Pelodiscus sinensis: one gene and its partners. The main gene of each other region encodes a partner of the protein of the gene in region 3 in a complex. Links are inferred from orthologs where the notes say so. Each region holds a gene or a part of one and is shown on either strand. Other genes may lie near its edges. The genes, in order: BCL9, CDH26, CTNNB1 and NR5A2.

Region 1 (7,052 bases), on a different chromosome or scaffold from region 3:
TCTAGGGTCGTCTAAGGTCCAGCTCACCCAGTAACCTGTTTTCCGACAGTGGTCAATGATGCCCCAGAGGGACAAGGAATCAAGTGATCCCTCTCCTCCTGTCATCTATTTCCAGGCTCTGATAGAGAGGCTAGGGACACCATTCCTCCCCATCCTGGCTAATAGCCACCGATGGCCCTAACCTCCGCATGTATCTAGTTCTTTTTTGAACCCTGGTCAAGTCCTGGTCTTCACAATATCCTCCAGCAAGGAGTTCCCCAGGTTGACTGTGCAGTATACAAAAAAACACTCTTTTGTTTGTTTTAAACCTGCTACCTATTAATTTCATTAGGGAACCCCTAGTTCTTATGTTATGGGAACGATAACTTTTCCTGATTTACTTTCTCCACGCCCATCATGATTTTATAGACTTCTATCATATCCCCCTTAGTCTCCTCTTTTCTAAACAGAAAAATTCCAGTCTTTTAGTCTCTCATCATATGGCAGCTGTTCCATACCTCAAATCATTTTTGTTTCCCTCTTCTGAACTTTTCCCCCATGCTAAGATATCTTTTTTGAGATGAGGTGACTACATCAGCACACAGTACGAAAGATGTGGGCGTGCCATGGATTTATATATAGGCAGCAAGATATTTTTGGTATTATTCACTATCCCCTTAAAAAAAAAAAATGATTACTACCATTGTTTTTGCTTTTTTGACTGCTGCCACCCATTGAGTGGATGCAATAATGAAGCCAGCAGGGGCTGGTGACCCCACTCCCAGGGAGCTTCGCAGCAGGCTCTGCAGTATAAAGCTTAAATAAACTTATTTAAGCTTTATACTGTAGCATCTGCAGCATGTAACCGTATAACTGGTGAGATTTTCAGCAGTTACATTGTTACCTATTGAACCAACTTTCAACATCCCTGGTATAATACCACCCAATACACCTTGCCCATCTGTATTCACAAAACTGGTTTGCATGCTGGTTCTGACACTCCAATTCAAAACACAGTAGCTCCTGGGAGGCCACAAGACAGAATGGGGTGGAAGGAGACTGACAGTTTGTTTTCCCAAAACCTCTGGGGGAATTTCAGTGTTATCAAGAAACAACTTTTCAATCCTAAGCAGGGCTGGACTTCAACTGAACACAGAGACATACATTTATCATTACCAGCTGGGAAAATCCTCTCCCCTCTCTACAGGGGATTTAGCCTCCTTCACCACAGTCACCACCTCAGGCAGACAGAAGCTTTTGCTAACCCCCCACAAGCCAAATAATCATCTCACACCAAAACTTGGCACTTACCTTTAATTTCTGAATCATCGCTGGGAGTCCCAGTGTCCCTCTGTTCGAAGGAATCCGCTGAAATGCTCCTCTCTCGCTTTCCCTTCCCCTTGGAACCATTTCCAGCCCCATTCTTCAACCCCATGCTCCCAGCTGGGCCAGGGAGCACTTTAGGGGGGTGACCTCCAGTTTTAGGGTCACAGGGAGAGGGCTGGGATTGGCTGGTAGAGCCCCCCTGTTTACCCGGGTTGGAAAATTTGGAATCCAGCTGGGGGTTTCCAGACGGGGACATCACTGTGGGAGGACGGACCATCACCTCCTGCTTTGATTTGGGGCTACTGGGGAAAAAAAGAAAGAAAAGAGAGAATTTAAAAACAGAGATGAGATTGTCAAATCACTCCAGCAGGACTGGGTTAGAGAGAAGCACAGCAGCCACTGCTACTGCCTCTCCAGAGCAAGGCAGTTGCTGTGGAGTAAGAAATGCCTACATGCTTATCTTCATCCAGCTGCTCTTCCAAACATGCCTTGCAAGGGTTATTATCCAATATAGGATCACAGTGCTTAAGGAGGCACAAGAGCAAGCAGCAGGCCTGCCAGATCCCTGCTCAGTCACATGAGGACCCACCTCTGGGGCTTCTGTCAATAAAGACAACGGTTTCTATGTACACAGAAAAGCCTCTCACACCAAGACCAGCTCAAAGTAAACAAACAGGGCACCATAAAGTTCACCACACTACCCATCCAGACCCAAATGACACAGTACAGCTGTGATCACAGAGTGGAGAAACCTACCACAAGCCAGCCCAAGACAGCATAAGGAAAACCCAGCATTATTACAGCACTCATCACAGATTAGGGAAACTCTGCAGGCAAATACAAACCTCTGACCATGAAAACAATTAAACCAGCTACAACCTGTCTTTGAATGAGGAAAGAGGAGGATACTGTCTCCACATACACTCCTGAAAAATGCGGTGGAGGAGACTGCATTAGCTTTTACAAAAAACAAACAAACAAACAGTATTTTCCCACTCTCTGTCCCATTACACAAACTACATCCTAAAACTATGTGGTCTCCTTAGATTTCATACAATTACAGTCTCCCTTCCTCCCTTTATTTTAGCTACTGTCAGCCCCTTCCTTTCTTCTGTAGGGATTTACTAGGAGCTCATTTTACCCCACCCCCACCCAAAAAGGCAATGCATTGTAGCAAGGCTCACTAAGGAGCAGCATGCTCCTTTGGTTGGCCAGACAGCTGTCTCAGAAGCACCCCCTCCAAGTCACTGTCAGCTCTTGCTGACCCCTGGAGCGAAGCATCAAACCTAGGTGGGCTGTCAAGCACATCACACATCCAGTGATCACCTTTCCTTCAAGCTTTTCCCTCTTCCAAAGCCAATGGAGGAGGATGTCTGGCACAGGCAGATGAATGACATGGACGAGGATTGTGCAATGATAATCAGTTCCATGCTGCTCCTCTCAGCAGCACAGGGAGGACTTTGTGTTGGAGTACAAGCACAAAGATCATCTGTGCTTGACCCAGCCTTGAGTAACGCTGCAGCAGACATGGGACACCTCCCCCTCCATCCCAGAACAATTCACTGGCGCTCCTCACCTCTGTGTGTTTCCTGACGGGGAGTTCCTCACTTTGGGGTTACTGGAATGCATTGACAGATATCCTGTGCTCTCACACGCACACGGATGGGCTCTCGTCAAGTTCCTCTGGGGGCCCTGCTGCTGCTGGCAGCTTTGAAATATTTTCTGCCACACGCTTCTCTCACCGCTGTCCGTCCACTTGTCTTTTTTCTCTTTGTCTCTCTGTGTCGCTGCACTGGACCCTTCCCTCCTGCAGCTCCAGCATTCTCTGAACGCGTGCCTCCTGCTGCTGAGGGGAAGTCTCGCATCTCCAGGGCACACTGTGTCAAATCGACCCCCCAAAAAAGAACAGAAGACAGGTAAAGTACATTCCAAGCCCTGAATTACCTGAACGAAACCGACAGGTGCCTGGCAATCCTTCCTCCGTCACTAACAGGGTGCAGCTGGCTGGAATGCCCAGCAAGGAGAAGCCTCTGGAAGGTATTAAAAACTCACATCTGGTGAAGCTAGGATGTAAAATCCCATTTAATTGGCTAACTAGTTAAACATATGGTTTAAATGGTTAACCGATTAAAGGGGGACGAGGGTCGAGGTGCTCCAGCCCAGCTGAAGGGCCCCCCCACCAGTGAGCTGAAACACTCCTTTCCCCCAGCTGGAGCCTAGACAGTCCCTGTGTACAGGGCATCCTGACTCACTGCTAACAAAGGGTGCTCTGGATGGGACTAGGGATGTAAAATTGTGATTAATTGGCTAATTGAATAATCAGTGCAATTTGCATCGACTATTAAATTAGTCGATAGGGTACCTCCACCTTTGAAGTGTAGCAACAGCCCCTGGGCTATTGCTACACTTCAAAGGTGAAAGTACTGCAGGGAGCACGGGCCAGCGGGAGACTCAAGACACTGGCCCCATGCTCCCTATGGCATTTCTAAGTGGCAGCACTGCATGGAGCCCAGGGTCAGTGGGGGATTCCCCAGCTCAAATGCTGTGTGCAGCCCAGGGTCAAAATGGCAGATCCCGGGCTCCACACGCCTGCCGCTTTGAAATGCGGCATACAGCTCGGTCAGAGCAGCCCCTGCTTATGGGGGTTCCTTGGCTCACCACTGACAGAGGCTGATCCGGCCAGGCAGGCCTCCAGCAAGGCTGGAGCAGCCCCCCTGCCTGCAGCAGGCAATGAGCTGCTCCAGCCCCACCAGTTAACATTAACTGGTAAGCCTCACCCTTAAGGGTGAGGCTTACTGGTTAAACTTTCACATCTCTAGGTGAAGCCATTCTCCCTTAACCCAAAACAGGTTACTCTGGATTCAGACAAGCATGGCAGACAGAGGTAGTGAAGTTCACCGTATTTAAGGATGTTAACTAGCGGTTAACTTACTAGTCAAGTAGTCGATGGAATTTCCATCAACTACTCAACTAGTCGAAAGGCACTTCCGCATTCCTCCTTTGAAATGTACAAGAGCTGCAACTGGGGTAGAACTCCATGTGCAGCTGGGGCCAGGAGGAAGTCCCACTGACTCCGGGCTGCATGGGGTCGTGCCAGCTTTGAAATATACAAGAGTCCCCAGTGGGGACTCTTGTGCATTTCAAAATGGAAGCGCCTTCATGGAGTTCGGGTCAGTGGGGGACTCAGGGTCCACCACTCACCCCAGGCTCCATGCTGCGCTTCCAATTTGAAATCCACCTGGAGCCTGTGGAGTCCACAGCTGACCCAGGACTCTGCATGGTGCTGCCCTTTGACCACCACGTTGGTGTTTCAAAGTGGCAGCGCCTCACAGCTGATCCCAGGATCAGTTGTGCGGCGCTGCTGCTTTGAAGTACCCCTTCTTCCCCCCTTTGCTGCCTCTATGTAATAGAGGCAGCAACAGGGCGGGGGAAGAGGGAAATCGACTAGTCCTTAACATCCTTAGTCATATCCAGACTCTTTCATCTAGGTCATGGAAGAATTCATGTCTGTGAATGTGTATGACCTAATTAAGCCTGCCCCACACCAAATCACTAGGAACATAGGACTATACATATCAATTGTCCCAATTGTCCAGAATTCCCACTACGAATGGCCATTACCTGACGTCTTAGAGGAAGATAAAGACTTCCCCCCCCCACACACTATCCCAACATAATTAGCCATTAGTGGAATGCTATGTGGTGGAAGATACACAGGAGGGAAAGAGAAAGAAAATACCTTCCTGACCACCTGTAAACAACCAGTTCATGCCATGAAGCATGAGACTTGATTACTCAGAGCATAGAAGAACACATGGTCAATTTTTTTTTAAACTAAATCCTTTTAACTGACCGAATATGGGAGAACTGTCCATCCAAATTTGCTCAGCATCATACAGGCTATTTAAAAACACATTTTAATTTAACATGAACAATTTTGAGCTTGTTTCTGAAGAGAGGCAACAGGCATGATACTGGCCCATACAGAACATCATAACACAGTTTATTCTACATTATTAGAGGAAAATATTGGAATTGTGTGTTTCTTATGCTCCTTGGACTAAAGAATTTTGTGGAAAAAAATCTGGTTAATATTGTAACTAATATTTTCTGTTTATTTTACCTACTCAGATGTAAATCCACTTAATTTAGAATATAAACATTTAGAATATTGTTCATGTATTATATATTGCTAGTTAAAAATTATTCAAATGTAAATATCCCCATTATTTCTTCTCAGCAAGGAAGAAGCAGTTTCTTGTATGACTCAATAGCAACAAAATAAAATTAACCAGGATGGCAGGCTCTTACCTATTATGAAGTAACTAGGACTTTACGGGTAGTAAGAGGACATAAATCAGTTCACTGATGCATTGCTACTGGAGGATTAAGAAATACCTGCCTCCATATGATCACATTGTTGCCAGTGAGAAACTCGCTAGGAAGGCATTTGTATGGCGTTTTGTGGCTCTCCAGCGCCACTAAGTGATTTTGGCATGTCATCACACTTATTTCATGATATCATATCAGCACCTTGATGCAACTTCAATACAGTGTCAGGACATCACAATAATTAATTTGTAGATCTCAACAACTCCAAAGATTCTCCTCTCCACAGTGCCCTTGGCTGCTATAGAGCAATCCTGGTGACTGCAATGTGTTTGCTCAATATTTCTGCCTTCACTGCTCTGCCCAAGTCCCTTAATGCAAGGAACATTCCTGCATTAAGAACTTCATTTGTATTGGGTAGAGCAAGAGCAGTTCGGAACCACAGAACTCAACAAGAACCACACACATACACATATCTAAAGCTGCAAGGAGAGCATCTCATCAGTTTTTAGGGCAATGTAGTTACAGTGTCAGTGTTATTTCTATCATGCACAAAGGTGTGCAGGGTGCTGTATCATCATATCTGAAAATCAGCTCTTCGTACGTGCCTACATCCCACTGCCTCTCAGTGTCTGAGGTTCCTAAGTCCCTCTTGAAAAAAAGGAATTCACATTTTCAAAAGTGCCTCAATTCCACTGCTGTAAAGTCTTGGGAGAAAATTTTACTCATGGTCATTCTCATGAAACTGAAGTTAGGCCAGGGGTGGACAACAATTTTTGCAGTGGAGCCACTTCACCAATTTTAGTATGAGGTACCAGGACAGCCCCGGAAGGGGTGAGGTCTGAGGTGGAAGGGGGCTGTTCCTTCTAGCTGCCTTGTGCACTGCACAGAGGGAACGGCCAGCTGTTTTGAACAGCTAATTAAAAGGTAGGACCGCTAATTACTAAGGATGGAGTGAAGGTTAAGGATAATCTAGGAATGGCCCAATATCTAAACAAATACTTTGCTTCAGTCTTTAATGAGGCTAATGAAGAGCTCAGGGATAATGGTAACCTAACAAATAGGACTAAGGATATGGAGGTAGATATTACCATATCCGAGGTAAAAGTCAAACTTGAACAGCTTAATGGGAGTAATTGGGGGGCCCCGATAATCTTCATCCAAGAATATTAAGGGAACTGGCACACGAAATTGCAAGTCCATTAGCAAAAAATTGTAATAAATCTCTAAACTCAGGGGTTGTACCATTTGACTGGAGAATTGCTAATATAGTTCCTAGAATTGCTAATATAGAAAAAAAGCAACCCGGGTAACTATAGGCCTGTTAGTTTGACATCTGTAGTATGCAAGATCTTGGAAAAAATTTTGAAGGAGAAAGTAGTTAGAGACATTGAGGTTAATGGCAATTGGGACAAATT
Region 2 (7,280 bases), on a different chromosome or scaffold from region 3:
AGGGGGCTAAGGACTTTTTCAGCCTTGCCGATAAAGAGGTAACAAGAACCAATGTCTGGAAATTGATATCAGACAAATTTAATCTTGAAATATGGCAATTTCTAACAGTGAAGCTAATTAAGGGTTGGAACGAATGGCTTACCAGGAGAAATAGTGAATCCAAACTCTTAAAATCTTTAAAATGCAATTTTCTTTCTTAAAGACATGCTCTAATCCAGTTTCTGGGGTAAATTCTACAGGCTATGTGATCATCACAGTAGTGCCTTCTGGCCTTAGTCTATGAAATATGCACATATAATCATGGTAATTGTGCGTGTTTTTTTAGGAGTACGAGCATAGCAGACTTACCCTGCATTGCCCGGATCCTTCAAAGCAGAAGGGTGGTGGTGTGGGGGAGGGAGTGCAGGACTGAGGGAAGGGCTTTCAGGATATAGAGCGGATGGAGGAGCCTGGGACAGGCGGGTATAAGAGTGAGGTCTGGAGGGTAAGGAGGGGCTCAGGAGAGGGGGGCTTTTTTCTCCCCCAGCTGTCCCCCCACTGCCAGGGGCCTTTTTTCTCCACCTCTGGCACTGTGCTAAAGGGGGGAAAGGTTTGGGGTCAGGGGAGCTACTTTGTGTGCTAGCAGGCAAGATAGGAGAGCCCCAATCCTGCTGGTCACTTTCCTGGTGGTATAGTTGCTGCCAGTGAACACTCTGCACTGCAGCATAGCTCTTCCCTGCAGTCTCTCTGCCCCCAATGGAAACTGATATCCCTCCAAACAGCAGCCCATCCCTTTGCATTTTATGGAAAACTGTCCTTCTGCCAGGACTTCCAGTTGTCCTGGAACAACCAAACCCTGACCTTGCTTTTAAGTTAGGAGAAGAGGAAATTGTAGTTAAGAGAAGAGGAAACTTTATACAGGCAGTCCCCGACTTACGCGGATCGGACTTACGTCGGATCCGCACTTACGAACGGGGCTTTCTCGCCCCGGAGGTCGAGGTAGCAGATTGCTACCTGTGAGCTCCGGGGCGAGAAAGCCCCGTTCGTAAGCTGCTCCGGTGCCCCTGGTCTGCTGGAGACCGTCTCCAGCAGACCAGAGGCACCGGGCGGGTTCCCGCGCTTCTGAGGCTTTGCCAGAGCAGAGCCTCAGAAGCGCGGGGAACCGCCGCTGCTGCCGCTTGAGTCCCGGTGCCTGTGGTCTGCTGGGGACCGTCCCCAGCAGACCACAGGCACCGGGACTCAAGCCGCAGCCGCGGGGGGGTCCCGCACCTCTGAGACTTTGCCAGAGCAAAGCCTCAGAGGCGCGGCACCCCGCTGCCGCTGCGGCTCTGCTCCCCGTGTCCCTGGTCTGCTGGGGGGGGCACGGCTAGTGTGCCCCCCCCCAGCAGACCAGGCTTTTGTTTTGGACCCTGGAGCAGAGCAGCTGGGGCGCTGCGGATTGGTCCTGCAGCGCCCGCTCTGGGCACTACTGGACCAACCCGGCAGCACCCCAGCTGCTCTGCCCCAGGTCCTGATTCAGCCGCTGCTGGTCAGTTTCAGCAGTGGCTGAATCAGGACGCCTGGGGCAGAGCAGCTGGGGTGCTGCTGGGTTGGTCCAGTAGCGCCGAGGAGCGGTGCTACTGGAGCAACCCAGCAGCACCCCAGCTGCTCTGCCCCAGGCGTCCCCAAGTCAGCCACTGCTGAAACTGACCAGCGCTGACTACAGGAAGCCGGAGGAAGAGTTGCTCTGCCCCAGGCTTCCTGGAATCAGCACTGATCAGTTTCAGCAGCAGCTGACTTGGGGAAGCTTGGGGTTCTTAAGTTGAATCTGTATGTAAGTCAGAACTGGCGGTCAGTTTCAGCAGCGGCTGAATCTGGACGCCAGTTCCGACTTACATACAGATTCAACTTAAGAACAAACCTACAGTCCCTATCTTGTACGTAACCCGGGGACTGCCTGTAGCCATAAAAGAGCACATCTATGTAAACAAGGTCTTTTCACTTTATACTGGTTTTGTATTAATTCTAGTAGTTCATAAATGAACAGGTGTGAAATATACATGTTTTTATTAAATAATCAATTGACTTTGCAATTCTGTGGGTTCTCTGGTATGCTCTTGTGTTTAAATAAGGTTCTGCAGAACCTTTCACACATGTTTAACTTCATGTGTGTCACTAGTTCCACTGCACTTAATGGGACTAGTATTATGCTTAAAAAAGCTAAGAAAAGCAGGTGTGTAAGTCTTTCTAGAACTGGGGACTGAGAATGGTATCCGGTCTTTTTAAGTGTCATTTCCATAGTTTTACCTTGTGGGAGTATCCCCATCTTGTTTGGTTACATTTTGCATGCAAGAACCTATTTGTGGGCTTGGAAGGATTAGATTTTTTTGGCAAATGTTGATGTCACAGAACATACACAAACTGACACATTTCCTTCCATGATGGTTGATATTTACAGATAGGCAAAGTAAGAAAAATTCGGTTGGAGAACATTCTAGGATTGAATTGAAAGATATAGTTTTTACTTGGCATGTGTTGATATATTCTGTTGACCACCTGCGTTGTAATGGTTATAAAACCATAACTTTTTGACTCTTAACTGTTGTCATTAAATAACTAGTGTCTGGTCGCTCCCTAACTTCTCACAACAAAGAAAACTGAAACTGATTAAAAACCCAAACGCTTAAAAATATGAAATGGTTGTAAAAACTCAAATGTTGCCAAGCCCCCCTCTTTGAGATCGGTGCCTCAGCGAAGCCGGTGGGTTGACCGGAGAACAGTTTCAAGAGCAAAGATGGGTATTTCCAAAGGGTTTTCCCCTAACACCGGCTCATCATCTCCCCCGCTCCCGCATCCCTTGCCTGTGCAAAGCTCCAGCCTCCTCCAGTGCGCGGTTCCCGACCTCCCCCTGCCCAACCTCCACGAGGCGCCCTGTCCCCCTCGCAAGCGCGGCGACCCCCACACCTACCGCCAGGAGCAGCAGCGCAGCGAGGCACCCCATGGCCAGCGGGGCAGGCGGTCCCGGGAACTCCCGCTGATGTGATCCGCGGCGGCGCTGCCTCCCAGCTTATAAAGCCGGCTGGGGGAGCAGCCGGGGCGGCCACGTGCCGCCCCCTCCCTTCCACTGCAGGGCCCGGGCGGGCGATGCAGAGGCTCCCCAGGCCGGCTGGGGGGAGCTGTCCGCCGCCTTGCAAGTCGCTACTGGAGCTGCAGGCAGACCCGCCCCCCTAGGGGTGGGGGGCACCTTGCGAGTCCGGTCCGCGCAGACGGTGTAGGAGCGTGTGGGTGGCGGGCGCGCGATTTGGGGGCACCCTCCTCCCTCACCCCCTTTCCCTGGAGGCTGCAGGGCTGCGTTGTAGGGCGCCCCGCGGCGTGAGCCTGTCCCCTCACTTCTCACCAAAGCGTGTGGCTTGGGGGGGGGGGCTCAGACTGAGGAGGGGGGGGAGAGCTCTGCCCCCAAAGCAAACTGTGGCCATGCCCGTGGCAACCCGAGGCTCGGCTCAAGGGAGGTGGTACCGTTCAATATAGGACCATGCGCTGTCCGCTCTGCTGGGCTCCACCTGGGTTATGCTTTAGGAGAACCACATGCTGACTTCCTGGGCTGGGCGGGAGGGGATGGATAAATAGTGGTATCTCTTCAGCACTACCCACCTGTTGTAGTAAAATGAGACCCCCTGGGTGAGGGAATTAGAGGTGCTACTTCATCTGGTTTGAAGTGGTTCCCATCAGATACAGGACTTAGAGTTTGGTTCAATGGTTCTCAGCACCCCGCTACACAAATTGTTCCAGCCTTGTGCATGTCTCTGATATCATCTTTCTTACTGCTGCAATAAAATAATTAACAATGTTGACACTGAAATCATCACTAGGCCTCTGAGTAACAACTTCCCTGGAAGAATGGGGCAGTTTGCCCCACCCCGTGGTTCCAGGCTCCTACAAACTCAACTAGCTGGTCTCCACATTTTCAGTTAAGGTCACATTTCTGCGGTTTTCTTCACAACCATGACAACTGGAGATTTCTTTTCAGAAGTACAAAATCTGAGAAGCTGGAGAACAACACAATATCTACAGAAAAGTGGAGTGCAGTGCCCAGGCTGCTACCGGCTAGTTTCAAGGGCACTCAGTGCCTTGCAGGAAAGAGAGGTTGCCCATAGGGTGTGTCTAGACTACAGGGATTTTTCGAAAAAAGTAGCCTTTTTTCAAAAAATATTTACCTGTGTCTAGACTGCTGCCGCGTTCTGTCGACAGTAAATCGAAAAAACTCGGCAGTTTTGTTGATGGCAGTAAACCTCATTTTATGAGAAATAATGCTATTTTCAACAGAGATCTGTCAAAAAAAGGTATGTGTGGATGTGGAAAAGGTTTTTTTCTTTTTTTTTTTAAATGCTTCCAGGAAGAAGCCCTGGTGGACACCCCTGCCAGACCTTTCACCGCCATTGTTCCTGCCTGTAGCATCTTTTAAAGGCACAGGCGCCCAGGAGTAGCATTGTGGCAGCAAGCCAGCTCCAACCAGGATCCTGACTTCTCGGCTCTTGCTGGAAGGCACACTCAGAGCCATGTCCCAGGGACAAGTTCCCCAAAGCCCTCCTGACCCTTCCAGGGACACATCCCCGCACCAAGCCAAGGGCACCAAATGCCAGGCACCCTCCTAGTCTGCGCCTGAGATCAAAGCCCTCTTGGAGTTCTGGTTGGAAGAGCAGGGAAGTCCTTAGCCATAGGCAGAGTAGGCAGTTGCCTAGGACACCAGTATTTCTGGGGCATCACTCTGTAGGGATGGACTGGAAGCAGTGGAGCATTTATAAGCAGGGGCTAAACTACTGCTTGCTATCAGACAGCTAAAAGGAGACAGCTGCCCTGTGGGTGAGTGTGCTCACTCCAATTGTTTAGCTCTGCAAGATAATTAACTGTTAACTGTTGACTTGATATGTAAATACAGCTCATGCCAGGAGGGGGAGGGAATACAAGGTGTGGCTATGTAAATCCAATTCAGCCAGGCCTGATGGACGATCAGTGTTGGAATGGAATGTGGTGTATTGTAACTAATTTGGGGATGTTGTGGGGGTCACAAATCATGCCAGCCATAAATGTGGAAACTGTAAAATATGACACCAGTGTTTGCAGGAGAGACACCCTCATTGTAAGAGGTCTCAGAGGAACAAGCCTCCCCTCTGCCATAGTTGAGTGAACTGAGTTGGGCTGGTGGGTGTAAGTAAGTGAGGAGTCTTTTTGCTAGTCTAGTAGAAGCTAGAATCATTGCAAGAGGAGTAACGGTAGTTTGAATTAGGAGTTTTAATTCAAACTACCTAGTCTGTGCTGCATGTAGCTGCGGGTAGGTACTTTGAACTAGGGGGCATTTAAAAATGGTGGCACCAGGGAACATGCAAATAAAGCCCAGGATATTTAAATTCCGGGCTTCATTTGCAAGTTCGAATGCCTACATTAGCCACCCTAGTTCGAACTAGGGTAGCAGTATAGACATACCCTAAGGGAAGCATTTTACATTGTTAACAAAAAGTTTATTTTTCTTTACAAAACAGTGATATAGGTTTTGTAACATACAACAGTGCAATAAACTGTAAGCATTTTGTCAAGCACACCTATCTCTGTTCTCTGTGTGAATGTGTACAACGGGGGGCAGAGATAGGTTTTGGGGGGAAGGCACTGGGGGCATGGGGCACACCCACATTTGGAAGGCCCTTGGGAAACTCATCGGGCTCCTTGGGAGAATCTCTCCGTCAGGGCTTCCCAAATACACAATCCCAATTGGTGGGCTTGGAGGATGGCAGCTGTCCAGGGCTGCTCAAACAGCCTCCCCTCCACATCAGCCCATGTCCCCCACACAGGGAGGAAGGCCTCCCCTTTCCTCTCCCCCAGGTTGTGCAGCACACAACAGGCAGCAATCACTTTGGGGATGTTGCGTTCACCCATGTCCAGCCGAGTGAGCAGGCATCTAAACCTGCCCTTCAGATGGCCAAAGGCGCACTTTACCTGGAAGCGAGTCTGATTCAGGTGGGCGTTAAACAGTTCCCTGCTCGAATCCAGGTGCCCAGTGAACAGCTTCGTGAGCCAGGGCATAAGGGGGTACTCCACATCGGCCACGATGGACATAGGCATCTGCACATTCCCGACTGCAAAGTTTTGCTCTGGAAAGAATGTCCCAGCCTGCGGTACAGGTATGAGTTCTGGAAGATGCAGGCATTGTGTGCCTGGCCTGACCACCTGACACAAACATCTGTGAATTGTCCCCGGTGACCAACCAGGGCCTGCAGCACCATGGAAAAGTAGCCGTTTCTGTTAATATACTGCGCTGCACAATGGGGAAGTGCGCGGATCAGGATGTGAGTCCCATTGAGTGCTCCACCGCAGTTCAGAAATCCTAGCCCTGCAAATCCAGCCACAATGGTATCCAGGTCTCCAAGGCGGACAGTCCTTGACGCAGCTCCGAATTGATGGCCGTCACCACCTGCAGAAAGGGACAAATAGAAACACATATAAGAGGAAATTAGAGGAGTTGCCTGAGCTGATGAGAGGTGCTCCCTCACCCCTCCCCGATCCCAAGAGCACCCCCTCAGGCAACCCTCCTTCCCCACCCCCCCCCCCACCACAGCAGTGAGAGGCCAGGAGGGCTTCTACCATTCCCACCCCATTCCCTCTGCCCGGTCCTGACTGTCCCCCTTATCCACCTCCCCCACTATGGACTGTCCCTAGAGAGTGACTTACCTCCATCAAGACGGCCCCAACAGTAGACCTCCCCACACCAAACTGGTGTTCCGAGCGGTAGCTGTCGGGGGTGGCCAGCTTCCATAGAGCAATAGCGACACACTTCTCCAGGGGGATGGCAGGTCGCAAGTGGGTGTCCTGACATTGTAGGGCAGGGGTGAGCCAGGCACACAGCTCCTGGAACATGCACTTCCGCATATGGCAGTTTCAGAGCCAAGCCTTGTCGTCCCCCTGCTCCCTAACAAGATGGTCCCACCAGTCTGAACTGGTGTCCAGCCTTCAAACTCCCCTCTCCAGGAATAAGTTAGGTGGTAAGGACAGTGGGGCTGCAGTTTGAGTGAAGGGCTCAAAGCTGGGCTCTGAATCCAGCTGTGCCATGAACATGATGATGGTCTCATGAAGATGCAGCAGAACTTCCAGCATCACAGTGTGGGGCCATCGCCTGCCCAGGGGCAGCTCCAGCTCCATGGCAAAAAAATGATTGAAAGCACAAAAACCAACCAGGAAACCAAATGCTATGGTGTCCCACAAAGCAGGGCACTCCAAGCAAGCACTGCAGAAGCTTTGCTGTCCCTCTAGGAGGTAGGCAAGCCAGCTGCAGG
Region 3 (7,407 bases):
TAAGACCAGTGGCTGGACTAGCAAACCTGTCAGTCTTATTCCATGAACGGAATAATTTGGAAATACAGGCACTCATAAAATGTATTTCAACTCCTTGACAAAAATCAGAAGGCGGCAAAGTGGATATTAGCAAAGTTTGACAATATTCAGAGTCTGATCAACCTCTTTCATTTAACTTAAGTCATCTGTATGTAGCATTTGCACATCTCCCTGAGGGAGAGTCAGATTTTTGGTCACTTCAGGGGAAACAAGTACTATTGCTAAGCCAATGAGAAATACACAAAATATTTACTATAATAACTACAGATTTCAAAATTCCCTTTTATCATTTGAATGCTATTCCTATCCACTTCTAAATCAGATTAACAGCACTATTTGTTACAATGGCTGTTTAACCACTGTTCCCTTTTTGAGTGCATTAATTTTATAGCCAGTGTATCTCCAGAGACAAAAGAAAACTGAAGAGAAAGTTAACACTGCATGAATCACTCAAGAAAGCAGGTCAACTGGTTTTGAACCTCTCCCACATGGAAGTTGATATAATGAAGGGGAAGAGGGAGAAGTAGAATGTGTAGCAGGCACTGGAAATACTTTGCAGGTTTTTATAAAGCTGTGAATTACTGTAATACTGCTATTCTTCAATGTGGCACATTTATAAGATCTGATCTATTCAGTTAACACTATTCTAAGAAGTGGATGACAGTATCCAGTCAGATCAGCATATCAAGAAAATCTCACAAGTTTAAAAGGAGGACTTTGCCTCACCCACTCTTTATGATGACAGTTTTCCTTGATAAACCTGCTCTAGCCCAGGGCAGCAGGCACTTAATTTGTAAAACTAAGTTACCTTACAAATGACAGCAACTAACACACAGAAGTAACAAATGCTAGCTACCCAGCCACAGTTACACAACCCTATTTTTTAAACCCTGAATTAGAACCGCATAACCAGATGAAAGTCTTGAGTTCTGTAGAGACACTTCCAAAAAAAAAAAAAAAAAAATCTTGCTTACATGCCTTAAAAGTAGAAATAGCTCAAGTCAAAAAGCTTAGGACACTTGAGGCAATAGGAAATAGTTGAAGCCACTCTGAGTTGGCTACAAGATGTAGATTCTACTGAAGTCATGAAGCACAAGTTGTGCAGTAAATTAACATTAACTGTTGTGTCAGAGCAACCTCTATAGCCAGCCTACAAGTCTCTTCAGTTCTACATTTTTGAAGACTGTTTGTATTAAAAAATGGCAGTCAAACACTAGGCTCCTCAAATCAAAGTATACATTTAACAGTATATTAATGCAATTTATAGAATGGTGAAATTTCAGGGTGTTCAGCTCTTAAAGCTGATTTGGGTATCTAAAATTTTATTTTTCAACAGCGCCAAGCATCCAGCATCTGCCATTGATGCCAATGGGATCCACAGACTAGTGTCTTTAGATAAAGATTTTAACTGCCTAAGACAAGTGTGTTAAATTTGTAGGCATTCAACACATTACTAGTTAACTAACAGAATCTAAGGTGGGTAACTTGGCCAAATAGGACTTCACATGCCAGCCCAAAGGAGATAAATCCTAATACAGAATACAAGCAACTTTAAGATCAGAGGAAGCGGTCCTGTTCATTCGGGACAGTTTCTAATCTGAGCCTACTATACTCTCAGAGTCCCCATTTTACTGAAACCCCTCCTTGACTTCCTTCCACCGACCTCAGCATACCAGCCCAGCCTCTTTCCAGTCACCACTTGCATACTTGGGGGAGGGGAGGACCACAGATGTCTGGAAGATAGGAAGCACGGGAACAAGAGACGACCCACACAGAAGAGATCAAGAAAATACAGCCAGCGTTTACAACTGATTCAGTGTTGCTATCCCCCCCCAAAAAAATCTCCCTACGCAGTTAGCATTGCATAGAAGGGCTTTTCCTCCAAAAATCGTACGGAAAGCCACCTTTTCACTTAAAAAAAAAAAAAAAGAGTAGAGACACTACCAGTGGTTTTTTTTTAGTGTATCAAGTTTCTTTTAAGGAAAGAGCCAAGAAACAAAATTAAGATTTCTGATTTGTTTTAAGGCATCGCTGTCCCAAGAATGGCCAGTGTTTTTAATAAATCGTTAAGACTTCAGTTTGGGCAAAAAGCCCGAAACTATGAACGTAAAAGATGCCTGAACTTTTATTTTTAAGTTTTACATAAGCCGGGGGGGGGGGGGGGGAAGAGGAGAGAAGAAGAGTGCAAGTCTGGTCGCCTCCCCTCAGAAGGATCAGCTCTCTCCCACAACACGCTGCATATTCGGAAATGGCCTAATCCAAAGCCAGCAAGTTCCCCTCCCCCGGTAGGAAAGCCTCAAGACACCTCGCTCTTTCTTTAGAGAGACTCCAGCTAGTTGGGTTGTTTTAAACTCGCTCGGGCTACACCCCGCTCCGCAGCAGCCACTACTCAAAACACCCCACAGCGGCAGGGACACCACCAGGCGCCTCTCCCGCAAGCACAACACGCAGCGGAGACAAAAGCCCAGAGCGCAACAGATAACAGCGGCCGCAGTCCAGCAGCACGTTCGTTAGACTTACACCGTCCAAACAAACCCGAACCCGCTTCCCTCCCCCACAGCCGCCCGCTCCCGGAGCCGCGCCGGAACGCCCGCCACAGAGCGCGGAGCCCCCGGGACCGGCCTCCCACCCCAGCGCCCGGCTGCAAACAACGCGCCTCCCGCCACCCCGGCCAGCGGTCCGGCAGCCTCCCGCGAGGCGCCTCAGCTGCCGCCCCGGCCACTCAAGTGTCCGGACCGCCCCGAGCCAGTGCCCCGTGTCCGAGTGACCCCCCCCCCTCCCACGCTCCGGCCAGGCCCAGCGCGGGCCTCCCGCCCGGGCAACCCCCCCCCCCCAGCCTCCCACCCCCGCACAGCCCGGAGCGAGGCTCCCGCACGCCCGGCTCCCCCGCCGGGCTAAGGGAGGGAAGCGGGAAATGAGCAGAAAGCGCCACTGACACCGCGGGGAGGCAAGAGCGCAAGGTCCCGCAGCCCTGGTCTCCGGCCGCCGCCGCCTCCGGTCGGTCGCCGCCGGACACTCCCCTGCCGCTGCCGCCGAACCAAGCGAGAGGCTTAAAATGGCGTCGCTCGCAAGGAGGTTCTTATAGGGCGCGCGAGGCGAGGCTGTATCCTGCCGCCGCTGCCGGGCTCGGCGCGCAGCATTCCACAGGCACCCAAGCGCCCGGGCAGGGGGAGGAGAAATAGTGCCCGGCTCCCTGGGCGGAGGGAGACAAAGGGCAGCTGTGCGCCACCCGCCGAAGGTAGCTCGCCCCTGCGGAGGGCGCTGGGGGGAGGCGGGCGGAGTTGCACAAGGGGGAGGGGGTGGGGAGTCTGGGAACACAGGCGGGAGCGGGGGCGCTGTGGAGAACAAGGCAGGATGGGAGCAGTGATCCAGCCGAGAGGGAGGTGTGATGAGGCCAGGATGGGGAGGGGCGGCGGAGACACCTTCTTCGGGAGGTTGGGACGAGGCTGGTTCCTTCCTGCCTGGGAGAGAAGTTGCTGCTGGGGGAACAGCACCAGCGTGTTGTTCTTAAAGGGGCAGTAACCACTTGGCAAGGGATCAGCTGCTGGTTCCTCTCAACCCCTCCCCCCCCAACGAATTAGGAGTTACGGACCGGGCTGAGGGATTTTTACACTCCCCTAGCTATCGAAAGTGGCGTCGTGTTTCCCCCAAGGCTTGCTGCGGAGCGCAGAGCTAATAGCAAGCCCTCTGCGCCTTTGCGTTTCCCGCACCGCTGATTAAACTTTCTGATTTGCAACAGGGAACAAAAAATGATCGTTTCCGAAAGCGGCTTGCAAAACACAACAACGACGGCCCCTCCCCGTCCCGCTCACACTGTGCCCGGCTGGAGGCACACGGTGCCCTGCTTTCCGCCGCTCCTTGAAAAAAAAAAAAAGTGGCAGTGAGTCTGGGGAAGGTGGTTATGACTGAGACTCATTCACGTAGGCGGAAACGCGTTCTGCAATTCCTTTATAAATATTTGTCAGGAAGCTGTTGCCAAAGAAAGTATCTAGTTATGCAATGGCTTTATGGGAGAAACTCGACTTTTTCGCCTTCTGGAGGAGTTTTAAAAACAGGAAAATAGTATGAATTACACATGCTTTCCCACTGCATGCACGATCTTGCACATCCACTTCAGCCTCTGCATGCCTATTGCAAACTCTTTTACAGACTTTTTCACTAGCAAAATATGTTCAATATATCAAGTAGATAGTTAAACTATAATAAGAGACACAATTTAGCGAATGAGCATGGATACAAATGAGTGTATTCTAAAAAAAAACCCACACAGCTAGAACAAAACCACGGCATTTTTTTAATACATGATTTTGCAGTAGCAAAATAAGGTTTTTTAACGTACGCAGAGTGGTGTTTTTGTTGAGTTTTTATATGCGTTTTCTTCGTATATCATATTGAACTAGCCACATATCTTTTATAGTGCCTCTTTTTTGTATCTGCACTGGATGTAATTCACATAAGCTCTTTTTGCTCCTATCTGATCGTGTATCTGCTCTTCAGAGAAAAAAAAATATATATACACACACACAGCGGCTCTTTCTTTGTATGCTTAATCTTGCACTAGCGGGATGTTTTAAACTGGCATTTGATGTTGCACTGGCTAGACTTATTATGCAGTCTCTTTGCACGCGCGATTTTGCACCGGTAAAGTATATTTCAGGCAAACAAAACAACCGCCTACATTTGGACTTTGTTTGCCGTGTTGCCTGTTGCCTGGCGTGGGAAAGGAAGATGCTTTAAACTTTAAAGTCTTCTACGTAGGACCGAAAGTGGTTCGCCCGCTGCTCGCTCTCGCGTTGCCTGTGCCAAGGCGCCCAGGTCATTAAGGGCGCGTTGTCACTGGGTCCGCTCGGCCCCGTGTTTACCTTAGGTCCCACCGCAGCCTCCCAGGCTCCGCCTCAGCCATCCCAAGGGGTGGGGTTCGGGGCTGGAATGGCGAGCGGCTCTTGGGTGCCAGGAGGCCACGTGGGGAAGCGAGGCGGCCTCTTCTTCCCTCCCCCTGTTCAGCCCACTCCTCGCACGCAGGTAAAGCGGGGCACCGGCAGAGCAGAGCCGGGGTGGGACAACATTAGAGGCTTTCTCAACTGGGGGAGACTTATGTCACTGTTACAATGGGCTTTCAAGGTATTGCTCTTTAACGGTCTCAACCCCCCCCCCCCCATTTTAGGGCATGTAGCAATCTTCAGACTGCTTCTCGCAGTCATTGCCCTGTGAGGGGCCATTCTCCCACAAGCTGTCCCAGCTCCAAAACCCAAGTCCTAGCCTGTATGTGCCGTAGGCATAATGTGTAGTTAGGGGGCGTTATGCCTCTAACTCCAAGAAAGTACTGGGGGTCCTTACATTAGCTAATATATGGCTGCTAAATATACCTCCTGACTGTTGCACTGCATGCCTGACTGAAAGAATCCCTCAATAATCTCAGAAGAAACAAATAAAAGAACCAGGCGAAATAAAACATTCTTCTCGGAAGGTTTGAGACTCAGTATCTGGCCAACATCCAGCAGGAGGAAATCTCTATTGTTCATTAAAATATTTCTGTTCTAAGCACAAAGGTTAGCACAAATGCCCTGTTAGTGGCATTCAGTTTGCATCAGGATTTTTCATTCTGCATTATGACAGCTTTCCAAGGCAGTATGGTTTTGGGGAATTAGGTTGGATACTAGCCGCAAAAGAGCTTGATTCTTTGTGAAACTCCTTGTCTCCCCAGTTACTTTGCTGCATGACCTTGGGCAAATGAATCATATATGTCTTAACTTCACCCTCTGTAAAATGGGGATAATATTTCTGACTGTTAGTATCTTTCACCTGAGAATCTCTGCAGTGGAAAGTATTGTTATTGCCAAATTCACCATAAGCAATTCTTTTGGGTCCTTGATAACAACAGTAGAATCAGTTAAATGCCCTTGATACATTGCATGGTCCCAGATACCTTTCAGAGTCTCTTTGTGTGCTATCCCACCCCCTGAGGTCTGAGGGGACAGGGAATGCTGGAGTCTGGTTTTTTTCAGGAAGAGTAGTCTGTTTGCTTCTGGCCTCAGGACTGTGGACTGCTCTTCTTTTTGACATGAGGACCACTGGAATGAACCTCTTTTAAAGGAGGTTTTAAATTATGAATCTCAGAATGCCTTCAGCAGATTGTGTTGCTTTATAGTGAGTTTAAGAGGAGTTATAAGATTGTATATTTTTAGTCATTTAATCTGTACTAGATTTATTGCAGAGTTGCTAAGTTACTTTTGTATCTAGGCAGTAGTCAATTAACATTTTGATTTGGTTTGGTTTACAGTATTTAGTCAATGAGCAGTTTGACTATTTACCAGATACTTTCTGTTTGGTGGAGATAGCTGAGAAGAGCCATTGCTTTAATAGCTATATGTAAGTCTTATAATTGCAATTTACTTTAACTTGTAATAGCACTTTGTTTTATTACAGATGTTTCTAAAATACAATGTAATATGGTACAGTATGAAAAAGGGAAACATTTTGTCTTGGCTATTAGAATTCAGGGCTTCAGTTAATTAATTCACAATAAACAATGGAGAATATACAATCACTCTACTTATTCTCTCCTCAATCCCCAAGCTTTCATATTATATATATAGGTTTTTTTTTAAAGACCTGATTAGTATTTTAATAGATTTATTTTTGGTAAGTGTTTGTTAGTTATCTATACTGGAGACTTCTTTAAAAAAAAGTCAAACAGCCTTCTGGCAAGACCATTGTGTATTTCTGCAGTGAGACATGTTTGCTGCAAAAGAGAACTTCTTGGTTAAATTTTAAAAAGATAATGATTTAAATGTCTTTTTTAGCCTTTTTTAACATCCTTGACATTGTTTTTGCAGCGTCAACTTTTAACTCCGCATCACAGTAGGGAGCAGCTCAAACAGAAAAAAAAACGGATAAAGGTAAATTTCGTTGGTCACCTTTCTTGCTAAGGCAATTGGAATATAGCTATGTCTTAAAACACATAGTAAAGGAAAAGTTGCAATGGTATTTATATGTACTCAAAGCAGAATGAACAATTAAAGATATATTTAAGTAATAGGGCCCAAATCTTTGATTTCCCATGTTAAAAAGTAATTGATTTCTAACCATGCACATTTTTTGTACAGATTACAGACTAAGTTATAATATTGTTAAAATGCTAAACTAAAAAAATAACAATTTAGCAACACCACAATCCTGCATGTTGGCCATTTAACAAAATTCTTCCACTGAAATTAAATGTGCAGTGTATAAAAACAGTTTTGCACTTTTGATGAAACATGTGGTATGGCAGAAAAATGCTTGTAGTGTTCAAATATTCTACCTGAGACATAATTAAGTAATGTAATGCTTATTGCATAGTTGGGAAATATATTTTATTAATACAAG
Region 4 (7,781 bases), on a different chromosome or scaffold from region 3:
TCAGGCAAAACTCTCATTAATGTCCTGAGATAAGGCTAACTTGAGTAAGGGATGCAGGATTTGGCCCTATTTAGTGTTATTTATAACTGTAATACTTTATATTAAATTTAAATTGTTCAATAGTGCTGCCATATTTTACTCCCACTTAAAACTCCTATACATTTGGCCTGCAAACTGTAGAAGTACACACATGCCCTAGCTGTAATTTTACATTAAGGTAATTAAGTCAGTTTAGGTCAGTGGAATTCTGGTTTATCTATGTCCTAAAGGGAGCAGAATCAGACCCTTTATCTCTTTTCATATTTTCCTTTGCTAACCCCCTCATGTTTCTTAAGCTTGCAGAACTGTGGTGTAAAGGAGCACAGGCATCTACACGAAACAGGAGTTTGGACTAACCCTTCCTATGCTAAGCATGTCCGGGCGCAGTGGTCTTTAGATGGACCGAAGTTTGTCCAGTTTAGATCTTGTGATCTCTTGAGCCTCCTTCCAACCGAGGACTGCTAAGGCGACCTGAGAGCGTCTGCACAAAAACCTCCCAAACTGCCCCTAGACAAGTGGGTCATAAAGTCCAACATCTGGAACACACGGAACCCTGCTGGGCCAGAGTCCGCACGCAAAATCCTAAGGGGGGTGGGGGGGAGGGATAGGCTGAGGTGGGGAGAGGTGAGATAGCCGCCTCACCCCCCCCCCCATCCCCTAAGGGTCCTCTCACACTGCCGCAAGGCAAAGCAACGGATCGATGCCCAGGCTTGGTGGAGGGAAACCCAGCTGGTTGCGCGGGGGATGCAAGAGATGGAAAGATGCGCCCAGAAGACGAGCGGAGATCCTGCCTCTAGTCCATACGATCTCAGGGGAATAGCTCCCCCTTCTCCCCTCCTCCCCCCCCCCCCCCCAGCTGGTCACCGTGTCCCTGGGGTATTTTTGGCCGGGCTGTGTCGCTGGCGACTGTGCAGAGACGCTGACCCCATAACGGGCCGCTTTGCAGTGGGAAGGAGACCTAGCGCTCCGCGCTCTGGGAAGTTCCCGGTGTCCGGCCGCCGCTCAGGCTCTGTGCGCAGCCTGCCAGGGGGCAATTCTGGGTCCAGAGCTTCACGGAGAGCAGCACAAGCCGCCAAGTCCGTTAGCTTCCCTCCCTTGGCTGAGACGCGGACCCACGAGAAGCGGAGGTGGAGGGGAAAGGGAAAGGCCCCCTGCCCGGCCTTCTGGGAGGGCTGCCCGGCGCGCCTCGGGAAGCAGAGCTGAGCGGCTCCCTCGGAGTTAAAAGGAAAGCAGCGGCTCCTCCCAAGAGATAAAGATCCTGTTTCAGCTGCATTATTCCCTCGTCCTTACACTGCCTGCGAGCCAACTCTTCAAAGACCCCCCCACCCAGCACCAGACCCCACCCAGGAGGAGAGAGCTCCATTCCGAAGGCTTTCCAGGCGCAAAGCAGCTGTCCAGGCAGGAGTTAGTAAAAGTCCAGCCTCACACTCGCTCCTTCCCTGGTGCTCTGACAGCCCTGCCCCAGAGTGACATACAACAGCGGGCAGGGCACTTCAACAGTGCCAGGTGCGGAGAAACCTGTTGCCTGTTGCTGTGCTCAGCCAGGGTGTTATAAACAAGAGCTGTCTGCATTGCCCGATTGGCTTTCCCGAGAGCTCTGCTTGAGCCTCTGCATATGCAACCTGCACAACCGGAGACCCTGTGCAAGCAAACCCCGGACAGGACATGGAACGACTAGCAACTCCTGGCTAGCTCGAAGCACAGGAAGAAGATGCTGGGTTCACGGGACACAGTCGGGATTCGCAAAGGGTTTGGAGAACTATTGAAAAGTAAAATCCCTCCCTGCCAAACCTGGCACAATCACAGCCCGGTGTCACCCCAGCGCCCAGTGATTCGCTGCTGTCTGCACGCAACTTTCTTCCCACCGATGCTAGGTGGTAGGATGCTAGACTCTCTAAGGAAAACGAATCCCTCTAGGTCTATTTTGTAGGAACTCCGTGGAATAAGGAGAATAAATCGAGTCTGGACATTTCTATGAAGATTGAAGTGAAGTGTGATGAGAGGGCAAACTACACAGGGAGGGCAAACAACACAGAAACATATGCCCCCCCCCAAACAATCTAAAAAAATATGCCAGAGAAACAACATCAAGACACCAAGACACACCATGCAACACCCAGTAAGAGCCTGAATGCAATAAAATAAATGCCTTCCAGTTTTCTAGTGTTGTGGAGCTGGTGATTCCAGATACTATCTGAATGCATTTGAACTTTATAGAGATACTTTAAAATATTAGATTTTATGTTATTTAGTGCCCTTCTCACACTTCATATGTACAGTATCTAAATAAATACATATTAGACATCCACAGTACTTGTGATAAGACTGGAAAATGCTTCTGAGGTGTTTATTGACTTCATGAAATAGACATCGGCCTGATTTTTTTATATTTATGCCTTTTATATATTTAATGACAATTGCACAAATATATTGTAACAAACAATTACATTAATTATGTTATGTTTTGCCATATAGTTTAAACTAGAGTGATAGCAGATTATGTATTTAGTGATTATAATAAACCCGGAGAAGAGAGAGTTATTCAGTTAAATGATCCACTGTTAAAATTTTAAACATGGATTTTAATGCATTAATATTCATGTTGATAAAATCAAAGTGTAAATTAAACAGTTAAGTTATCCCATAACTATGATTTTCAATTTGAAATGGATGATAAGACTCAAGGTTAACAGATTTAAGCAGAGTTACTATAATAGAAAAGCATTTACTTACCAACTGGTGTAAGCCCATGTTTTATAGATTCTTGTATGTTGCCTGTGTCAGAACTAGAAGACATTATTAGGTGTCCTTGGGTATAGGGTGTACAGCATTGAGTTTGGCGAAAGGTGTGGCTTGTAAACTTTTCTGGCCTTGGGACCAAGGCTACAATAACCTTCAGAGAAAGTCAGCGAGATGAACAACAACAAAAATCCAAGAATTCAGAAAGTAGCAAATATGTCCTTCAATGGACTCTGTACTTTTTCCAACATTAGTGGCCTGCCCTAAACCATGTATCCCATTTCATGACAGACTCTAATCAGAAGAATTGAAACTTTTGATAGGTTCGGCATGGTCACATGACTCTGTACAGATTGATAAAAGGACTCTGTTATAAAGTGACAGCAAAAGAGATAAGAACTCTTGGCAGATAATGGCAGATAAATTATTAACTTACAAGTGGAGAGGTGCTATGAAGCACAGAGAGTGGAAGGTTGTAAAATTGTGGGGTCAGAAGATCATACTGAGTGGATAAAACCCAGTACCAATGTAAATGTAATGACAATAAACTCCGGCTTGTGACCTGTCCTTTCGATGTCATCACCTCTTTGCACAGCGGCCAACAAATATGGCTGTTTTGGCTTCTGTAAATACACTTTGGATGGCAAAACAAGCAAACGTTAATTTCTTAAACTAGGTCTATGTATCTGCTTCAAACTCTATTCCCTGGGTAAGAGCATTAGCAAACCTCTGGTGATTTTTTTTTCAGACAAACCTACTTTATTGCACCTACTCATTAAACAGGAGACTAACTCCCAACTTGTTGGATGACAGCCATTTAGTTAAAATCAGACACTATATTCTCAATAAAACGAGAGCTTTACAACATTGTTATTATAGGAAAATTTTGTATAGGCATTATTGTGTTCACAATTAAAGCAGCTTTAATGCAAGAAATGTTCCTAAGTTGTAGAATTTTTTTGAACAGTGCTTTGCTGAAAATAAATGTTATAAGGGTTAGCATGATCACTGCATGACTTTGTGAGCACATCTGTCAGCTGGTCAAATTCTTCTCCGAGGGTGTGTCTAGACTACAGGGTTTTGTCAACAAAAGTGGCGTTTTGTCGACAAAACTATACCTACATCTACACTGACACCGAGTTCTGTCTACATAATGTTGACAGAACTCAGCAGTTTTGTCGATGGCAGTAAACCTCATTCTACGAGGAATAATGCCTTCTGTCGACAGAGTTCTGTCGACAGAAGGCGTTATTGCATCTATACTGTCCTTTGCATTTACACTGTCATGTCGACAAAGTGGCTTGCTTTGTCGACAGAACTGGATGTAGTCTACATACTCATTGTCGACAGAAGCTTTATTGACAGTATCTGTCGACAAAACTTCTGTCGACAAAAGCCTGTAGTCTAGGTGAACCCCCAGCAACACGGTACCGGAAATAAAATGCAACTAACTCAATTTACTTTAATTTACATCTGTGTAACAGCGCAGAATTTGGCTCTGTTTCTCCTCTTATTATTCCAATATAGATGAGGAATAATGTCACAGAAATCAATGGAATTCCATCAGTGTAAAACTTTTGTGAGATCAGATCAGGCTTGTCGTATCCAATTTACATTAATATATTTCCAGACTATTCCAAAAGAGAGAAAACTGATTGTGTTGTGGGCCATCTCTAAAGCTCTCTCAAGTAAGCTAGAGTCTTTTTAAAGACATCTGTGAAATTTGCATCAGACCCTAAAGCACCACAGACCACACACATCTTTTTATACATTTTGGCATGAGTTTTGACTCAGGTTAAATAGTATACAGACCTTCTGGTCAGGACTGAAGTTACAGTAGGGCATTGGATGTGAGAGGTTGTCTGTAGTGGTTTTCAAATAGTTTTGGACTGGGGTCCTTGAACTCCTGAGTTATAATTATGATATAACACCATCTCCCTTTATGGCCTTTGCAAATAAGATAGGTAGAGACTGATTTTCAAAATAGTTAGATGCATAACATAAATACAAAATGCATGACTTATTTGCCTGTGTAGGTACCACAAAGGGGGGCGTTAATCAGATACTTGGTCTCCCAAGTAACAAGTTATATCAATAAATGTGTACATTCTATTATGGTAACAATGCATATGACGTGTACATTCGTGCACATATGCACATATGTGTGCCTACAACTTTTGAAAACCGGGCTCCTTATCTCTCATCTGCTGTCTTCTCACCTATATAGCAGTGTTACTACACTGACGTACCTCCCAGGAGGATTGTATTAATTTGTATGACAGTGAAAGTGAAAAGTTCTGGTAAATGATTATTATCTATTATGTATAAAGCTTAAATTTACATGCCAGAGTAAATGGCTACATTTAATAATAGTGGACACATCTCTACAGTCACTGAAATATTTTGAAGTGGCTTCATGTTTTTCAAAAACTGGAGAGAGATGTGACTGTTTTTATAGGAAAATATTATTTGATTCAGGTTCTGTATCTAATCTTGATTCACATGATGATCAAATAATAAGAACTTCAGGTTCAAGTTCAGTTTTTTCTGCAATCAGGGAGACTATTTATTTTCTATTTAAGCCCCAGAGTTGGGGGGAGGGTTAAAATAAAAGAAATGCTGCAGATGATACTGTGGTTAGAAACTTTCCACTGTTATCACTAGAGACAGTGTTTTAGCTCAGTTGGCTCATATGTAAGAGTGTCTATAAAGGAATCTGCAGTACATGGGACAGATACACTAAATCAGAGGAATTAGAAAGAAAGTCCATGGTTTTGGCTTTACTTCTGTAGCTCCTTTCCTTTTTGCATCAGTATCAAAAGTCAAGGTCATTTAAAAATGTACCTCCTTCCCTCGATGATACATTGTCTTCAGTGATAGAAGAATTTGTGCCAGGTGCCGAGACAAACAGACTTTTAATAGTGCCTGGGCCAATAGGAAGGATAAAAGTTAATAGGAAAACTCAAGGGCATCCTACATCAGCTTGTTAATAAGCCATTACTTAGCAAAAGGGACTCAGGCTCTGACCCAGTGAAGTACTTAAAGATATGTCTAACTTTAAGCATGTGAATAGTCTGACTGAATCATAGGCGTAAAAATAATCATGTGCTTTAGTATTTGCTAGATCAGGAACTTAAACAGTTCTATTCAGAGTATTCAACGGTAAAAGTCCCATTTGACTTTAATGAGGCCAGCTTTCTCTTGTAGTTATGGCACTGTGCAATAATTTTCTACATCTGTGTGCTCCATACTTCATTTCTTCTGATACAAACAAGAGAAGGCTTTTGCAAGGTGATATTTTTACTGTTTTATTTTTCCATTCATGGTCATGTAGGTCATGAAGGGAGGAGGAAAATGTTAAGTAGAAACATGCTTTCTCAATGTTTTTTTCATTTATTGCAAGATGAAAAAGTTAGTGGTTTGAAAAAGCTTGGCAAGGTTTCTGAGACTGAATTTTGCTTATGTAATCCTTTGCAACCATTTGCCACAAATATGGAATTGGAAGGAATTTTTCATGTTCTGTGAATCACATCACATTGTCACTGCATGCATTTTAAAGAAGCCAGAGTTTGGCAGAGGAGATACCTTGCAGTGTGGCTTGATGAACACATAGTGACTGTTAGAAATTGCTCTTAGACCCCAGTTTGAATTTCTGGTTTTAAATCTAGTGAGATCAATCTGGAGTTTACCCCTTCACTTCAGTTTTTTAAAAACATTGCTCTCTTGGTATCTGGTCCATCCATCAATGCCTTTTTATGCCCTCTCAGGAGGCTTTCTGCCGTTTTTAGACAAGTCAGTGAAGATTAAAATTTTTCTCATTTTGTGTAAATAGAAGGGTGTGTCAATGTATGGGTGTGATTAGCTTACCACTGAAGTCAATGGCAAAACTGCTGTTGATTTCAGTGGGAGTCAAATCAGGTTACCTATAATACTCATGCACTAGGGTAATAGGCATAAATAGCAAGGATTACTCATGTGGGTAAGGTTTATAAAAATCTGCAAATCTTGCTTTTACCTCATCCATTCAAATATTCTTTTCTGGGGCTGTGACATACATTTCGGATTCATTTGAAATATATTGAATATATTTTCGTTTATATATTTTATATTATTTTTGACATTCAAAATATTTCATTACCAAAATAGCACATTAGGTAGAAAATGGTGGTGCTTTTCTTTCTTTTTCTCTGTATTTCCAAAAGAGGAAGTAGAAGAATCTGATCTTGATTGATCCACTAATTTTTAACTTTCTGTTGTGTTTCTTATATATATATATATATATATATATATATATATATATATATATATATATATATATATATATATATATATATATATATATATATACTGGAGTGTGAAAGTTCTGATTTAGTCAATGTATTTCCTGCAGCTGATTCCAAATGACTGTGTCCTTATAGTGCAATTGCAGCATGAAATGACTAGTTCTTTTTATTCTCTCTCTTGCTTTTGCATCCTCTCCTCCCCATGCCATAAAATGCAGTATACATTAGAACTGGAAATACATTTCAGACTCTGCCACCTCCTAGTTCTGGGTATGAATGTATTCAAACTAATTTATAGAAAGAAAAAGTAGTTGAATAAGAGAATGGTAACATTACTATTGTGAAAATAAATGTTTGAACCTTCAAAGTGTTACCTCTTCTAAAAGTAGTCTCAACTGTTGTGCTGAAGTGGATGAATAATTAATTAATAAATAATTTAGTTAGTCTCTGTCCCAATGGCTGACTTCAAAGGATCCTTTCAATCAGGGATTTCATGAACTTGGCTTCCTTTTTTGTTCAGAAATTTGTCATGCTGCTTGGAGTGACTCATAACCATAAGTGCCAGTTGTGGGGCAGACTATCAAACAGCAGAGCAGAAACCCCAATATAGCTGTATGTTGTTTAATTAGATTTTACCAGCCTCCTTACAAGTGTGAATTCCTAAAGCCCTATAACAGTCTTACCAGTGAGTCAGAGAATCCCATTGGCCACTTCAGTATT

What was found.
Region 1: the proteins of CTNNB1 (region 3) and BCL9 are in contact, whole or in part, in a crystal structure (PDB 3SL9), measured with the Homo sapiens proteins. The link is inferred for Pelodiscus sinensis from reciprocal best matches to the Homo sapiens genes CTNNB1 and BCL9. Residues at the interface, in NP_001091679.1 of Homo sapiens: Leu148, Arg151, Ala152, Glu155, Leu156, Leu159, Asp162, Asp164, Val166, Val167, Lys170, Ala171, Met174, Leu178; in NP_004317.2 of Homo sapiens: Asp349, Leu351, His358, Arg359, Ser362, Leu363, Thr365, Leu366, Ile369, Gln370, Met372, Leu373.
Region 2: CTNNB1 (region 3) and CDH26 share a complex: the UniProt entries of both Homo sapiens proteins name them as parts of the cadherin:catenin adhesion complex. The link is inferred for Pelodiscus sinensis from reciprocal best matches to the Homo sapiens genes CTNNB1 and CDH26.
Region 4: the proteins of CTNNB1 (region 3) and NR5A2 are in contact, whole or in part, in a crystal structure (PDB 3TX7), measured with the Homo sapiens proteins. The link is inferred for Pelodiscus sinensis from reciprocal best matches to the Homo sapiens genes CTNNB1 and NR5A2. Residues at the interface, in NP_001091679.1 of Homo sapiens: Tyr306, Gly307, Asn308, Gln309, Lys312, Lys345, Val346, Val349, Gln379, Trp383, Arg386, Asn387, Asn415, Thr418, Cys419, Gln559, Glu562, Gly563; in NP_995582.1 of Homo sapiens: Ser300, Ile301, Pro302, Glu475, Gln476, Ala479, Leu482, Asp483, Tyr484, Met486, Cys487, Asn488, Tyr489, Pro490, Gln491, Gln492, Thr493, Leu501, Arg507.

What each region holds. Positions count from the first base shown.
Region 1 is NC_134711.1:163,154,925-163,161,976, reverse strand, and holds the start of BCL9 (B-cell CLL/lymphoma 9 protein), read right to left. Parts: upstream 2,979-7,052; 5' UTR 2,935-2,978; coding exon 2,882-2,934; intron 1,944-2,881; exon of another isoform or gene 1,772-1,943; coding exon of another isoform or gene 1,758-1,771; intron 1,608-1,757; coding exon 1,291-1,607; intron 1-1,290. Other genes in the region: uncharacterized protein LOC142820475, read right to left, coding at 2,979-3,170. UniProt on the Homo sapiens protein: Involved in signal transduction through the Wnt pathway. Promotes beta-catenin's transcriptional activity.
Region 2 is NC_134728.1:11,396,985-11,404,264, forward strand, and holds the start of CDH26 (cadherin-like protein 26), read right to left. Parts: upstream 3,014-7,280; 5' UTR 2,960-3,013; coding exon 2,927-2,959; intron 1-2,926. UniProt on the Homo sapiens protein: Cadherins are calcium-dependent cell adhesion proteins. They preferentially interact with themselves in a homophilic manner in connecting cells; cadherins may thus contribute to the sorting of heterogeneous cell types.
Region 3 is NC_134712.1:177,510,849-177,518,255, forward strand, and holds the start of CTNNB1 (catenin beta-1), read right to left. Parts: upstream 3,009-7,407; 5' UTR 2,976-3,008; intron 1-2,975. UniProt on the Homo sapiens protein: Key downstream component of the canonical Wnt signaling pathway.
Region 4 is NC_134719.1:44,780,287-44,788,067, forward strand, and holds the start of NR5A2 (nuclear receptor subfamily 5 group A member 2), read right to left. Parts: upstream 3,013-7,781; 5' UTR 2,837-3,012; coding exon 2,773-2,836; intron 1-2,772. UniProt on the Homo sapiens protein: Orphan nuclear receptor that binds DNA as a monomer to the 5'-TCAAGGCCA-3' sequence and controls expression of target genes: regulates key biological processes, such as early embryonic development, cholesterol and bile acid synthesis pathways, as well as liver and pancreas morphogenesis.